Drosophila melanogaster: one gene and its partner. The protein of the gene in region 2 purifies or fractionates together with the protein of the main gene of each other region. This does not show direct contact. Each region holds a gene or a part of one and is shown on either strand. Other genes may lie near its edges.

Region 1 (6,809 bases), on a different chromosome or scaffold from region 2:
GATCCCCAGCAGAAGCTGCACTACTACGACATGGGATGGTGGGACCGATTCATAGTCAGCTACGGCCTGTTCCTCGTCACATATCTGCACAGGTATGCCCTGGTGCGATGGTACTTGAACTTCCGCGTCTGGCTGGTGGACATATTCACCTATTACTTGCCCTACGTCGCCATTTGGAAGTTTGGCCCGAAGTCCGCGTATGTGCGGATTTTCAGGAATGGCGGGGAAGCCCAAGACTTTGCCCTGGGCTTGAAGGACGATTAGATAGTGTTGTGTTTCAGTAGGTAAATTATCAATAAATATGCAAAGTAATTGTTGTAAAAGGAATGTTGAGTTTATATTTTAACCATATTTAATGAACGGGCTGTAGTTCATGTTGATCATATAAGAAATGTTGAATGACTTGAAAATCGAACACCTCCATAAATTATCGTATTTAATTAATTAATTATTTTATTTTTCTTTCTAAACAGATCGTTATAATTATTGGCGGTAAATTACGCGCTTCTGTTTTTTTTACATTTCCGAATCTGGTCACACTTGCGGCAGCATCTTTTGGGTTCCGGCTGTTTACTTTAGTTTTTTACCTTAAATTTAATTAACAATGTTTTACCACGTGAGTATTTCATTCTCCGAATAGAGCAAAAATAAATGCCAACCCCTTGCGCCGTAGATATCGCTGGAGCAAGAGATTCTGCTTCATCCACGTTACTTTGGCCCGCAACTGCTGGAGACCGTGAAGCAGAAACTCTACTCCGAAGTGGAGGGCACCTGCACGGGAAAGTACGGATTCGTGATAGCGGTGACGACGATAGATCAAATCGGATCGGGTGTCATCCAGCCGGGCCAGGGATTTGTGGTGTATCCGGTCAAGTACAAAGCTATCGTCTTTCGGCCATTTAAGGGCGAAGTTCTGGACGCAGTGGTCAAGCAGATCAACAAAGTGGGCATGTTTGCAGAGATCGGCCCGCTGTCCTGCTTCATTTCGCATCATGTATGTTAAGTCTGAGGGATCTAAGGTAACACTTTTTAACGGGCGATTCTTTTTTAGTCTATTCCCGCCGACATGCAGTTCTGCCCGAATGGGAATCCGCCCTGCTATAAGAGTAAAGATGAGGATGTGGTTATCTCCGGAGAGGATAAGATTCGGCTGAAGATTGTGGGCACACGAGTAGATGCCACTGGAATTGTAAGACGCTCCATAAATATAAGTACTTTTCGCAAGTTAATACTCTAATATTTCTAGTTTGCAATTGGCACTTTGATGGACGACTACTTGGGATTGGTGTCCAACTAAATTCAATCGTTTTGCGTACAATTTATATATATATATATATTAAACTTTAATGAAATGCATTTAGACAGTTAAACATCTATGTGTATATAGTAATAAATATGTCTGTACTTTATAAGATTTGATTTCAATTAAAGGTACGTTACATTTGTAATTTAGTAGATTGGTGTGGTCTAGGATTTATAATAATGGATGGACATTAAGTAAACAAACGGCTCGAGCTATACATAGGGCGTTTTAAAGGTATAGTTACAGCTACAGATCGTTATGGTAAAGCACTTAAGTTAGGTGTACGACAACAAAGAAGTACTTAAAAAAGCGATAGCTTCGATTCAAAGAATTGCGATTGCACTTAGAAATGAAAGAACAGAGAAGGGGGCAATGAGATATTGGATACGCAGTTGATTGCCAACGATTGTGGAGCTCCTTACAAGGCGGCAGCAAGCCTCACAGATCCCATGAGAAGAGATGGTGCTTCACCAGCATGTCCCTTACTCCGTCCTTGAGCGGTTGCGACTCCTTGCCGCGCTTCGGCGGCAGTTCCCAGTCGGGGTTCAGATTGAAGGCGAACTGCGAGAGAATGCGCAGCTCGCACTTGATCTGCACCCAACCGGGTGAGTCAATAAAGCTCCAGGAATGATACCACTTCTGTACGACCTCCTGGCAGGCGCACAGCACCTCCAACCAGAGGTGAAGAACCTGTTCGTTGAGGCCCAAACAGATCAGCGAGCGTAACTTAACATCCATTTGTGCGTGCGCATCATCGTGCGTCTGATTGATGGCCTGAACGCAGCGATAGAGTAGCTCCTCGGGCGTTAGTACCTTGCCATCCTCATCCAGTCGATACGTTTTGCAGAGCACAAGACGGCTGTACACCGACTCAAAATCCTTCTCCACCTCCCGGGTGGCAGCCTCCTCAATATACAGCCAGGGGTGTATTGGTCCACCCAGAAACGTGGGCCGTTTCATGCCGTGCTCCAGAAAGGCCTTGATGGCCGGCGCCAAGGTGCCACGCACCAGGTCCGTTACAGTTTCCGAAATGGCATCATCTCCGGCTGATGTGTACAACTTGCTCCGCTCGTCGAGCAGCTCCACGAACTTGGCTGGAAACCAGCCGCGCAGGCCGTTCAGTTCTCCCACCCAGCAGTGTTCGTCTTTTTGACTGATGATTGTTATGATGTCGTTCCGCCGAAATCCCAACTCATCGTCGTCGTGCCGCTCAAAGTCGTGCAGGGCTTTAGCCCTTCGCTTTCGCGTCCTTGCCACATTGATAAAGTTTTCGTGGTCCTTGGCATGCGACTCGGTGCTGTAGTTGGCCGTCAGCTGGATGTGACCGGCAAGCTTGGGTTCAATGGTGATGAAATGACGACCCACTTTAAGGATAGCCTCTCTTAAGTCTACCAGGATCTCCGTCTGGCGTATATTCTTGTTCTTCAGCTGATCCCCTTCGTTGCCGTCGCCGCGGAAGAGAAAGGCTTCCAGGATGGATTTGCTTTTGCGCACCTGCCGTCGGGCTAGCTGTTGTTTGGGAAGATTAGGCGCAGCCTCGGGATTTCCTATCTGATGTCCTTGATCCGCCATGAGATAGGCCAGGTGACGACGACGATGGGTATCGATTACCGTCTGGCTAAGTGATCCGCCCACCTCCAGGGCTTGGCGAAAGAGCACTTCGACATCAGTGACCTCGCCGGGAATGTCGGACAGTGAATTGAAAATCTGTGCTGAGTTCTCGAGATGCTTTAGATCTTGCTCCTTCACCTTGAGCATGCCCAGAGTCAACTGGAACAGCACGATGGAGCCCTCGTAAAAGAACCAGTCCCAGATACGCACAAGAATCTTCATATGCACCACGTTGGCAAAAAGCGTGAGGAACCAATGCAGCGTGATTAAAGACAGCTCGATGTCGTGCTTACGCAAGGACTCGTCCACGCTGCTCAGGTAGTTGGCAATAAGCGTGTGCATCACGCGTTGGTCGGCTTGAATTCCCAGAAGAGTTGAGCTGTAGTAGGAAGCTGGCAGCAGATCCTCTACAATGGTGGCCATCATCCAAAAGGCGTTCTCCTCCTCCATGAAGAGAAGCAGACAGGCAACGATCACTCCGGTGCCCTGACAGTAGCCAATGTCAGGAAAAAGCCACGCGATGCCCCTCAGAATGCGGCGCAATCGGGGAATGCCTGTCCCATTCGGATTGCTAAAGCAGGCATTTGTTGGCAGGATGCGCAAAAGGTCCTTCTCGATCTGCTTCGAAGTCATCAGCTGGTCATTGCTAGAAGCTATCAAATTAGGTGTATATTAATAATGTATTTATAACCTTTCTTGTCGCGTTCGATCTACCTTTAACTATATCGTGGTAGCTGGTCTCGCTCTTTTGCTTCTTGGCCAACGCTCCTGATAGACGCATCCACATCTGGGCACGCAACGTGTGCGGGATACCCTGACGGACCATATTGCGCAGCTTTTCTGTGCGTGGGAGCATTACATCCACATGCTCCCAGCTCAGCTCGGCAGCCTCCTTGTTGTGTGAGAACTCCAGGTGGGCGATCCACTGCAATCGCTGCTGCGCGTCCTCTACAAAGGGTATGCTCAGCAATTTGTTGGAGCTCTGCTCCGGACCGTCCTCCTCCTCCACCCGGAAGCCAAATTCGTCAAAACGGTACTCCGGCTGGTCGTTTGGGCCGGAAGCCAATTCCGCGCCACCGCCCAGCTTGGCTAGGATTTCCTGTGGCCACATGGAGGCGGTAAGAGCGGAGAATGGCCCACCGGGATTTGGTCGCAGGCCATCGGCCACACTTAGTTCCTCCATCATAGGCGGCAGCTCTCCCAGATCGTCTTCCGAGCCCAGGTTCTGCAGTTTGCGCTGTTGGCAGTGGAACGATAAATATTAATTACCATGATAAGCAATCTTTTCTGGTCAATTTAGACGCACCGTATGCTCTTCACGGCCCACGTAACCCTCATGGTCGCGGCCAAAAATGCTCCTGGCCATGTCCATGCTGGGGCTGGCTAATTTCCAGTCGAGACCTGGCCGCGCATTCAGTGAAAGTTTCTCTTAAGTGTCTCTTTGTGGCGTGTGAAAAACAAATATTATTTCTTCATTGTTTCGTTTTCAATTAGCTACCGAATCTGATTTCACTATCAGCTGTTCGATAGGCGACTGTGGGTGGTATCGATTTTTAGCCAAGCCATAAAAAACTGAGGTGTGGTGCAAAAGGGATATACCCCTCATATACCCCTTAACAAATTTAAGTGAAAACATTTTTTGTTAATATTTTTTAATAAAAGAAGGCTTTCTCTACCAATTAAAAACCATTTAGTTTGGTTCATCTAACCATATTTTATTCTGCATATCCTTCTACTTTTTCTCTACGCCCTTGACCAGGGCTGCTGAAAGCACACCTGTTGAGCGAATAGTTAAAGCTGCTTAATTAGATTATTAATTTCTTGTATTAGGCTAGCATTTAATGGTTCATTGCATTAGGAATTAAAATATTTTTTAAATTGGTCAACCGATTATTGATAGCAACGAACAATCGATTCCCCCGCCCTCGCCTTATCAGCTGTTTGGTTGAGATTGTTGTGTGGCTTTCGTTTGCCAAATGAAAAACATACGAAATTTACAAAAACAATGCAGATAAAGCCCATAATAACATGTGAGTTGTAAAAAATTAACACAATAAATCCCATATCAAACCTTTACTTACAGACTCTGGCTCGTGCCCGCTGTTCCGATCGCTGGAGTCCCAGATCCTGAACGCGATTCCACTGGACACTTGCGAGTGGCGACGCACTTTCCAACGCCCCACGAAACATGTTCGCTTGGAAGCCCAGGCACAGCAGTTCAATGTTGCGGCCTTGGAGAAGTACAAGCAGGGTGACTGGAGCATCTTGGAGCACCCCATACTGCACATTTTCGTCACCGAGTGCAATGTGAGTTAACTGATCCTGTAGGAATCTCTAAATCCACCTCCATTAACTATCTTTCAGGATGTGGACACCTACAAAGCCACGATCAGGGAGGCAATCGACATTTGGTTAAAAACATTAACCAGTTATGGCGTCTCGGATTGGATGATTCTGTTGGTCGAAACACTGGACATGCGGAAGACAAAGAACTTCATGCCACGCACCACTGTGCTAGATAAGATACGGTTGGATTTTGGCACGAAGAACGACGACCGCTGCATCTCAGTTCTGAACCCGGCCAAGTTTGAACAGAAATCCACCGAGTCCTTCCGCTGCCTAGTGCAGCGTATTCGCTTCCTTATGCTCACCAGCTACAATCGGAACATAGTTAAGTACGAGGAACTAATACGGAGCAAGCGCGAAAAGAGAAACATTGAAGGCTGGGATTTCCGCCAATACTTCTTTATGCAGGAAGACCTTGCGTTGATCTTTGAAAAGCTGGAATTGCCCACCGAGGCGTTGATACAGTACGATGAACTGGACGCCATGTTCTCGCAGTTCATAACTCACACTGGTCTCAACGAGAAGCAGCAGTGGTTGAACCATTTTCGCAAGCCCCTGGACGCTTTCCATGGTATATGTCTGACCCGAGCGGACAAGTTCGAAATGAGGAACAAAATCCGCGATGAAGGCGTTTCTCTGTTGGAATTCCGCAACTATCTTTTCGAACGTCAAGCCTATTTGCTGCTTACTTGCAATGACATCCCAGAAATCGCGAAGAGGCTTCTGAACTTTTTGTTTTCCACACTGCGCGAGGTGGAGCTCATAAAGCTGGAGTGTCAGGAGGGCGCTCTTTGCTGTTGGGAGTTTGTTTGTGCTCTGGAAGTCCTGCAGCTGTGCGAACAGGCTATGGAACCCAACGAGCTAACATGTTTCCAGCACTGTGCTCCCATCTGGAACTTGGCCAAGGATAAGCTCTACGAGCTCGGCAAACTGTGTGGCCTCTTGCCCGGCTGCACGCCAACTTCGGAGCAGTTGCACATAGTGGTGCAGCTATCGTCGGGAATTGGAGATGCGCCGTCCGAGCAGCATCAGTTCCTCCAGGCGACACCTCAGCTACGAGACCGGTCTCCCAATCGTAAGCCCAAGAAATCGGGGGCTGAGCAGCTTAAGGAAGCCCTGGGCTCGAATCAAGCCTTCCAGAAGCTCTACCTGGAGCTGGCAGAGTTGGCCATCAGTACGTACAAGCATGTGACACGCTTGCGATCGGCCCGTTTGGTTGGCCTGGACCTGGGAAACTTCTACTGCGCTCTAAATGAGCCACATAAAGCTGTTGGATTCTTTACGGATCTTCTCAGGGAGCTGAAGGCAGAGAACTGGCACATGCTGAGCTCGCAGACGCTGCTTGAACTAGCTAACTGCTACCGCAAGATGGGCGACTCGCTGGCCTACACCAAGACATGTAGCTCCATCTCGTGTTGCGCAGAACTAGAGACCTTAGTGCGAACATTTTATTTCGACGAGTTTCTCAAGTCACTGAAAACACTTAAGACGACGCTTTCGGCACAGCCGTCGATAGAGAATGCCAACTATTGTGTACTGGAGGATCACT
Region 2 (6,354 bases):
TCCATATTGGACATGGCGAGCGGTTATATTTGGCCTAGCTCATGTCTGGAAATAAAGGCAACTATGTACGTATACTACAATTCACATATCGAAGACAATATACCTTTGCATGCAAATGTAAATAAACCTAGTTTTCGAATCTGGAGCAGATTCAGTGCCGATACGCACAAATGACTCGTCAGCCTGGAGTTCTTTGTTTTTTTTTTACTCAGCCATAAACAAATGGTATCGTATTATCTTGCAAGAACCCGCATAATTTGCGAGAAGTACCTCTATATTTCCGGTAGGCACAGGTTGGTTATGTTAATAAGTCTCTAATACTAGAAGGTGCACAACTAATTCCGGTTCTAATAATACTATTAGATTTGCAGTTGTCCCAATTTATATTAATTGCACTATCGAAACAAAAGGAACACCGAATGCAAGAAACGAATCAGCTGTTTAGTGTGCCGGGCTGGGAAAACACCAAAAAAACCGAGTTAAAAAAAAATACCAAAATTCTTTGCGGCGCATTGGCGGTTCTCCGAAGATTTGAAAACCAGTGTCGCTGAAAGTTTTATTTTAGCCCTCTGCTCAATTACTTAAGTGTATCGAAATAATTTTAATGTCGTCGTAGGGCTTGTCCGTCTTGGGATTCGCCTTGGAATTGCAAATGTTGAGAACCACCTCCATGCCGCGGTAAACTCTTCCGAACACCGTGTGCTTGTTGTCGAGCCAGGGCTGCAATTAGAGATTGGTACTTAGTCAATCCAGTAAAGTAAACTAATCACCGCTGCATTCATCCTTACCGTGGGCAGGACTGTGATAAAGAACTGGCTTCCATTCGTGTTTGGACCCGCGTTAGCCATGCTGACCGTGTAGGGCCGATCGTGTTTCAGGCTCGGCACGAACTCGTCTTTGAAATCGCTTCCCCAAATGGATTTGCCGCCCGTGCCCGTTCCCGTGGGATCGCCAGTCTGCACCATGAAGCCCTTGATCACGCGATGGAATATGTGTCCATTGTAGTACCTGACAAAATAATGTGATTGCAATGGGACAGTTCTCAACAGTTGACGTATATATAATACCCATTTTTCGCATGAACACAGAAGTTCTCAACCGTCTTTGGAACCTCCTTGAAGAACAGCCTCATGTGGATATCGCCTTTCGTGGTGTGGAGCACCACGTTCTCGTAGATGCGTTGCACGACTAGAATAGAAGGAACATTTTGTAATGAATTGTTCTTGAAATATCTGATAGGAATAACCTTCGTCTTAAAATATTGTTGGCGTGCAATAGAAACATGTTTTGGGTTAGTTAAGAAAGGTTAATGGGATAAGCCAAACCAAAATACCTGAAGCTTCCGGCACGGCGATAATGTCCTCCTTCGAGGGCTTCTCGTTGAAAATATCGCGGTCGACATCCTGCAGATCCGAGGGCAGTCTTCGGCTGTACAAATAGAAGCGACTTTTTCTAATAAGAGTAGTAGAATGGACATTATAATACAGCATAGATATAATTCAAAACGGTATGAACTAACTTGTAAGCAGTGCAAAAGGCTGTTGGATCGTTAAGGATATTCTGGAGTGCTGGGTTTTCACTGGCCTCTTGCTCCATTGTTATAGCAGCTTTTTGGCGCTTAATTCTTCCTTGAAACAAGGCCACCTGGAGGGGCCGTATGTTGTCGGTTTTTCCTAGAATTGTGACGCAGCGATTCGTTACCACATTGATCACCTTGATGCCCAACATCGTTGGGTAGAGCAAGAAGTTGCCAGTGCTGTCGAACAAAATATTAAGGGTTGCATTCTGGGCAGTCTTCTCCAGATCCCGCTCAGCCGCCATTCTGGAATTCATATCTTTAAACCAATAAATAATAACTATTTTATTCTAGTTTACCTTCTGCCAAACTCCATGTTGGGCAGGGCGTGCTTCGTCTGCTGCATTTGGGTGTATGTAGATAGAGCTTCATCGAATACCCGGATCAACTTGCCCGTGTTGAACTGAAAGACGCGGACCTTACGATCTGTGGAAATGGCGGCAAAACGCTTTCCATCCGGCGTGGCGGCTAAACCCGTGACTTGGGTCTTCTGTTTGGCAAACTCAAAGAGGCCTAAAAGGTTAATATTTAGATGAGTCTAGGTTCACTCAGCTTAATCATCGATCTATACTTGTGTCTAGCTTGGAGTCAAAATTCACCAGACGCTGTGGAAACTTGTAGTCGTACTTCGAGTTTTGCCAGTATTCGAGAATGCCATTGCGATCGACAGAAATGACGGTCTCCATGGCCACATTCAAGCACATCGCCACCACGGGCGCCGAGTGAAGTTTCTCCAAGGTGTGAAGGGCTTCTCCGCCTCCTTGCCCGTCGTAGATGTGTATGCGGCTACTCTCTGAATCCGAGCTGGAGGAGGAGCAATCAGAATCATTAATCTCCAGATATTGATAAGGTACTTACATGGCCAGTGCTTGTACGGCATCTCCCGGCCCATTTATCCACTCACTGCACTGCGGTGTGTAGCCCAATCGAATGATGTTGATCATGTCGAAGTTGACAACATCGAAGACCTTGGCTGTCTGATCCGTGGCCGCCGAGCAGAGCAGCGTGCCGCTGTCGTTGGTGGTCAGTGATTTGATGGGTACTGCAACAAACACTTGGTTAAACGAAGAAATACACGTTATGTGGATCAAGAACCCACCTAGGTGGCTGCGAAAGTGCTTGACGAACTCGATGCCCAGCTCGCCCTTCTTCCAGAATTTGATGTGTCCATCCAGACTGGCGGTCACTACGAAATCCGTCTTCGTGCACACCAAATGAGTGATCACATCGCGGTGCATGTAGCTCCTCTCGTAGCTCTCAGCATTGGGCAGGTTTTCCAGGTAGATGTGTTCATAGGGCAGGACTATTTATTGATTAGTTATAGTTAAATGAAATCTAATTCTTAATAATAACCCTTCTTTTTCTTGGCGGGCGCGGGAGCGCTCTGCTCTGAAGGCATGGGTCCAATCCAGGCGTCTTCCTCGCCTTCCGCCTCTTTTTCGGATGACACAGATTCCTCCTGGGGCTCATTCTCCTCCTCCGGGGCACTGCGCTTCAGGTCTTCCTTGGTTTTATCACTCATTTTGGAAGTTAATAAACAAAATACGACTGAACTAGTTTGCCGCCGATTAAACAGTGTTGGTTAACGGTCAAAAGCAGCTGATTCAAATGATTCTGCGATATCTTTGGACGAATATCCTGTATTTTAACTCAAAACTAAAAGAAACGAGTAAAATAAATTGAATTACCAATTAATGGTTAATTACGCACATTAACTAACCAAATCGAAGTGAAACCCCCATCAGTACTTTCCGCCTTTCGCGCTCAGTCAGCTGTTTGAGAGCAGTTACAAAAGTTGTCCGCGCTCTTATGCGAATTCCGCGCAATATTCACACAAATTGCAAACACAACAAGGCACTGGGATTTAAACAAATCGTTTGTATATAAAAACGTAAGCCTTGCGATGCAGAACATACCGGACGAGGAGGGCGCGACGCCCAGCCGCGCGCCAGGGGGCGTGGCCGCATCTGGAGCTGCCGAAGGCGACGATGGCGGCGGAGGAAGCGGAGCCAAGAACAGCGCCAGCGGCAACAGCAACAACAACACCAGCGGTGGCGGCATCATTGTTTTGAGAGCTGCGCTGGGAGAGAACGAGGCGAGAGCGGTAATCAATAAATGGCGGGTTCGCGAGGGACAATTCGTGTCGGCGGCCCAAATCTTGTTTCTTTACCAGCCCGTGGGCGTGGACGCGAAGGACGCGAAGGACGCGGGAAAGCCGGGCGGGGACTGTGCCATCCAGAGGTACAAGTCCCAGCGCGCCGGAGTGGTGAAGAAGCGCCTTCGCAAGGAAGGGGAGCTTCTTACGAAGGGGTGAGTTTGGGGGTTGCAATCGGGCGGCGATTGGGCGTGGGGGAATGCAATTATGCAGCCGTATACACACTAACCGAGCCTGTTCTTTAGGGATGCCATTCTGGAGCTGTCCGAGTGCATACACACCACGGTCATCAAGGACATGTGCGCGGACTGCGGAGCCGACTTGCGTCAGAACGAGAATGTGAGTGCACATTGCCACCCACCTCAAGGGGCATATAGAATAATTAAACATTTAACCCGCAGGGACAGACCTCCGAGGCCTCGGTGCCAATGGTGCACACCATGCCCGATCTTAAGGTCACCCAGAAGCTGGCCCAGAAGCTCGGGCACGACGACACCCGCCGCCTGCTGGCGGATAGGAAGCTGGTCCTGCTTGTCGATCTCGATCAGACGGTGATCCACACCACCAACGACACTGTGCCGGACAACATCAAGGGCATCTACCACTTCCAGCTGTACGGCCCACATTCCCCGTGGTACCACACGCGCCTGCGCCCCGGCACCGCCGAGTTTCTGGAGCGCATGTCCCAGCTGTACGAACTGCACATTTGCACTTTTGGTGCGCGTAACTACGCGCACATGATTGCCCAGCTGCTGGACCCGGAGGGCAAGTTCTTCTCGCACAGGATTCTGTCCAGAGACGAGTGTTTCAACGCCACCAGCAAGACGGACAATTTAAAGTGCGTTTCTATACCTGAAAGCTGTTTGGATTTTCACTTGTTAAACGTGTTAAACAATAATCTACAAATTGTATATTACAGGGCTCTGTTTCCGAATGGCGATTCCATGGTGTGCATCATTGACGATCGCGAGGATGTGTGGAACATGGCTTCAAATTTGATTCAGGTTAAGCCCTACCACTTCTTTCAACACACTGGTGACATCAATGCCCCGCCGGGTTTGTCTAAGCATGAACTGGATGGCGAAGGCGTTGACTTTAAAGGTGGGTTGGGTGTTCCAGCAAGCTGACTTGAATGTTTCTAACGATATTTCCATTTGTTGCAGAGATTACCGAGAAGCATGGGGACAAAGATAAGACGGAATCCAGCAGCGAAGTCAAACCAGAAGACACCGATAAGGGTGATAATACCGTCACAAGCACAAGCAAAGATGACGATGTAAACGAGGAGTCAGTAGACGTGTTCGAAATAGAGGGCGATGCCAAGGATCCAGAGGTTTCCAACGCCTCAAGCGCTACAGAAGCACCCAAAGAGCCGAGAGACAAATTGAATGGCAAGACTAATGCTGAGGATATTGTGGTCATAGACGACAGCTCATCTGGCTCACCAGATGCTGAAAAAGCAGCCAGCGATGGCGAAGACGTAGTAGTTATTGATGATAATTCCAAGGAGAGCACAAAAGCCGAGGTGCCCCCCACACCGGCAGAAAAGAATGAGGTTGTAGCCTCATCCACCACTTCGCCGGATGAGAAGCGCCCGTCTGCTGACGCTGATGTGGCCACCACGTCTAAGACGCCCAGCTTACGAGCACCGCTCGAGGGGCAAAAGCAGATAGAGATTGAAGACCCCGACGATTACCTGCTGTATCTAGAGGTCATACTTCGTAACATTCACAAGCGATTCTACTCTATTTACGACGAAACCACGGAAATACCCGATCTAAAGGTTATCGTTCCGAAGATTCGGAGCGAAGTGCTGCGCGGCAAGAACCTGGTGTTCTCCGGCCTGGTGCCCACGCAGATGAAGCTCGAGCAGTCGCGGGCGTATTTCATAGCCAAGAGCCTGGGCGCCGAAGTGAAGCCCAATATTGACAAGGAGATAACGCATCTAGTGGCGGTCAACGCAGGCACCTACAAGGTTAACGCCGCCAAAAAAGAGCCTGCCATTAAAGTGGTCAATGCGAATTGGTTGTGGACCTGCGCCGAGCGCTGGGAGCACGTGGAGGAGAAGCTCTTTCCACTGGACCGCAAGGTACGCAACAAGGGTCGCCAGCCACCCGCCCATTGCCATAGTCCCGAGCACGTGGTTAACTACAGCGAGCGTTCGGAGATCTCACCCTCGAGCAGCAAGCAGCAGGAGGAGCAGAGCGGCAACTTCCGCGAAACGCTGAATCCGCTGCTGGTCTTCACCAACGCAGATATCGAGTCTATGAATAAGGACTACGAAACATTCTTCGAGTCAGACTCGTCCAGCGACGAGGGTCCTGTAAATTTTGGTAGGTATTTTACTTATTAATCCATGTGTCTGTATCCACGTTTAATCGAATACGTCTTTAATAACTCAAGAAAATCCACCAATGGACAAGAAGCTGTTGAAGAGAAAGCGCGAAGATGATAATTCCAACAGAGCTCACGACTTTTTCACGCGAAGCGATGATATAATGATTGGAGCGCCAAACCTCGTGGAGGTGGACATTAGCTCGAACGAGGAGGCCGATGACAATAACGAGAAGGAGGACGATGACGATGAGATGCCCAGCGCCAAGTTTAGGCGAGGTAGCCCGTC

What was found.
Region 1: the proteins of CG3511 (region 2) and CG12241 purify together in Drosophila melanogaster (affinity purification with mass spectrometry, with the first as the bait; one large-scale study listed by BioGRID). This does not show direct contact.

What each region holds. Positions count from the first base shown.
Region 1 is NT_033777.3:15,216,888-15,223,696, reverse strand, and holds CG12241 (uncharacterized protein), read right to left. Parts: upstream 4,442-6,809; 5' UTR 4,287-4,441; coding exon 4,221-4,286; intron 4,152-4,220; coding exon 3,629-4,151; intron 3,568-3,628; coding exon 1,742-3,567; 3' UTR 1,326-1,741; downstream 1-1,325. Other genes in the region: CG31344 (uncharacterized protein), read left to right, coding at 1-264; Polr2G (RNA polymerase II subunit G), read left to right, coding at 605-616, 674-994, 1,052-1,189, 1,247-1,297; SIDL (shal interactor of Di-Leucine motif), read left to right, coding at 4,920-4,944, 4,998-5,221, 5,279-6,809.
Region 2 is NT_033778.4:24,568,650-24,575,003, reverse strand, and holds CG3511 (uncharacterized protein), read right to left. Parts: upstream 3,378-6,354; 5' UTR 3,297-3,377; exon of another isoform or gene 3,233-3,296; 5' UTR 3,099-3,232; coding exon 2,930-3,098; intron 2,880-2,929; coding exon 2,676-2,879; intron 2,619-2,675; coding exon 2,435-2,618; intron 2,381-2,434; coding exon 2,148-2,380; intron 2,090-2,147; coding exon 1,876-2,089; intron 1,823-1,875; coding exon 1,520-1,822; intron 1,453-1,519; coding exon 1,334-1,452; intron 1,189-1,333; coding exon 1,068-1,188; intron 1,009-1,067; coding exon 789-1,008; intron 721-788; coding exon 574-720; 3' UTR 501-573; downstream 1-500. Other genes in the region: Start1, read right to left, coding at 1-14; Fcp1 (TFIIF-interacting CTD phosphatase), read left to right, coding at 3,480-3,886, 3,977-4,070, 4,133-4,569, 4,651-4,832, 4,895-6,064, 6,135-6,344.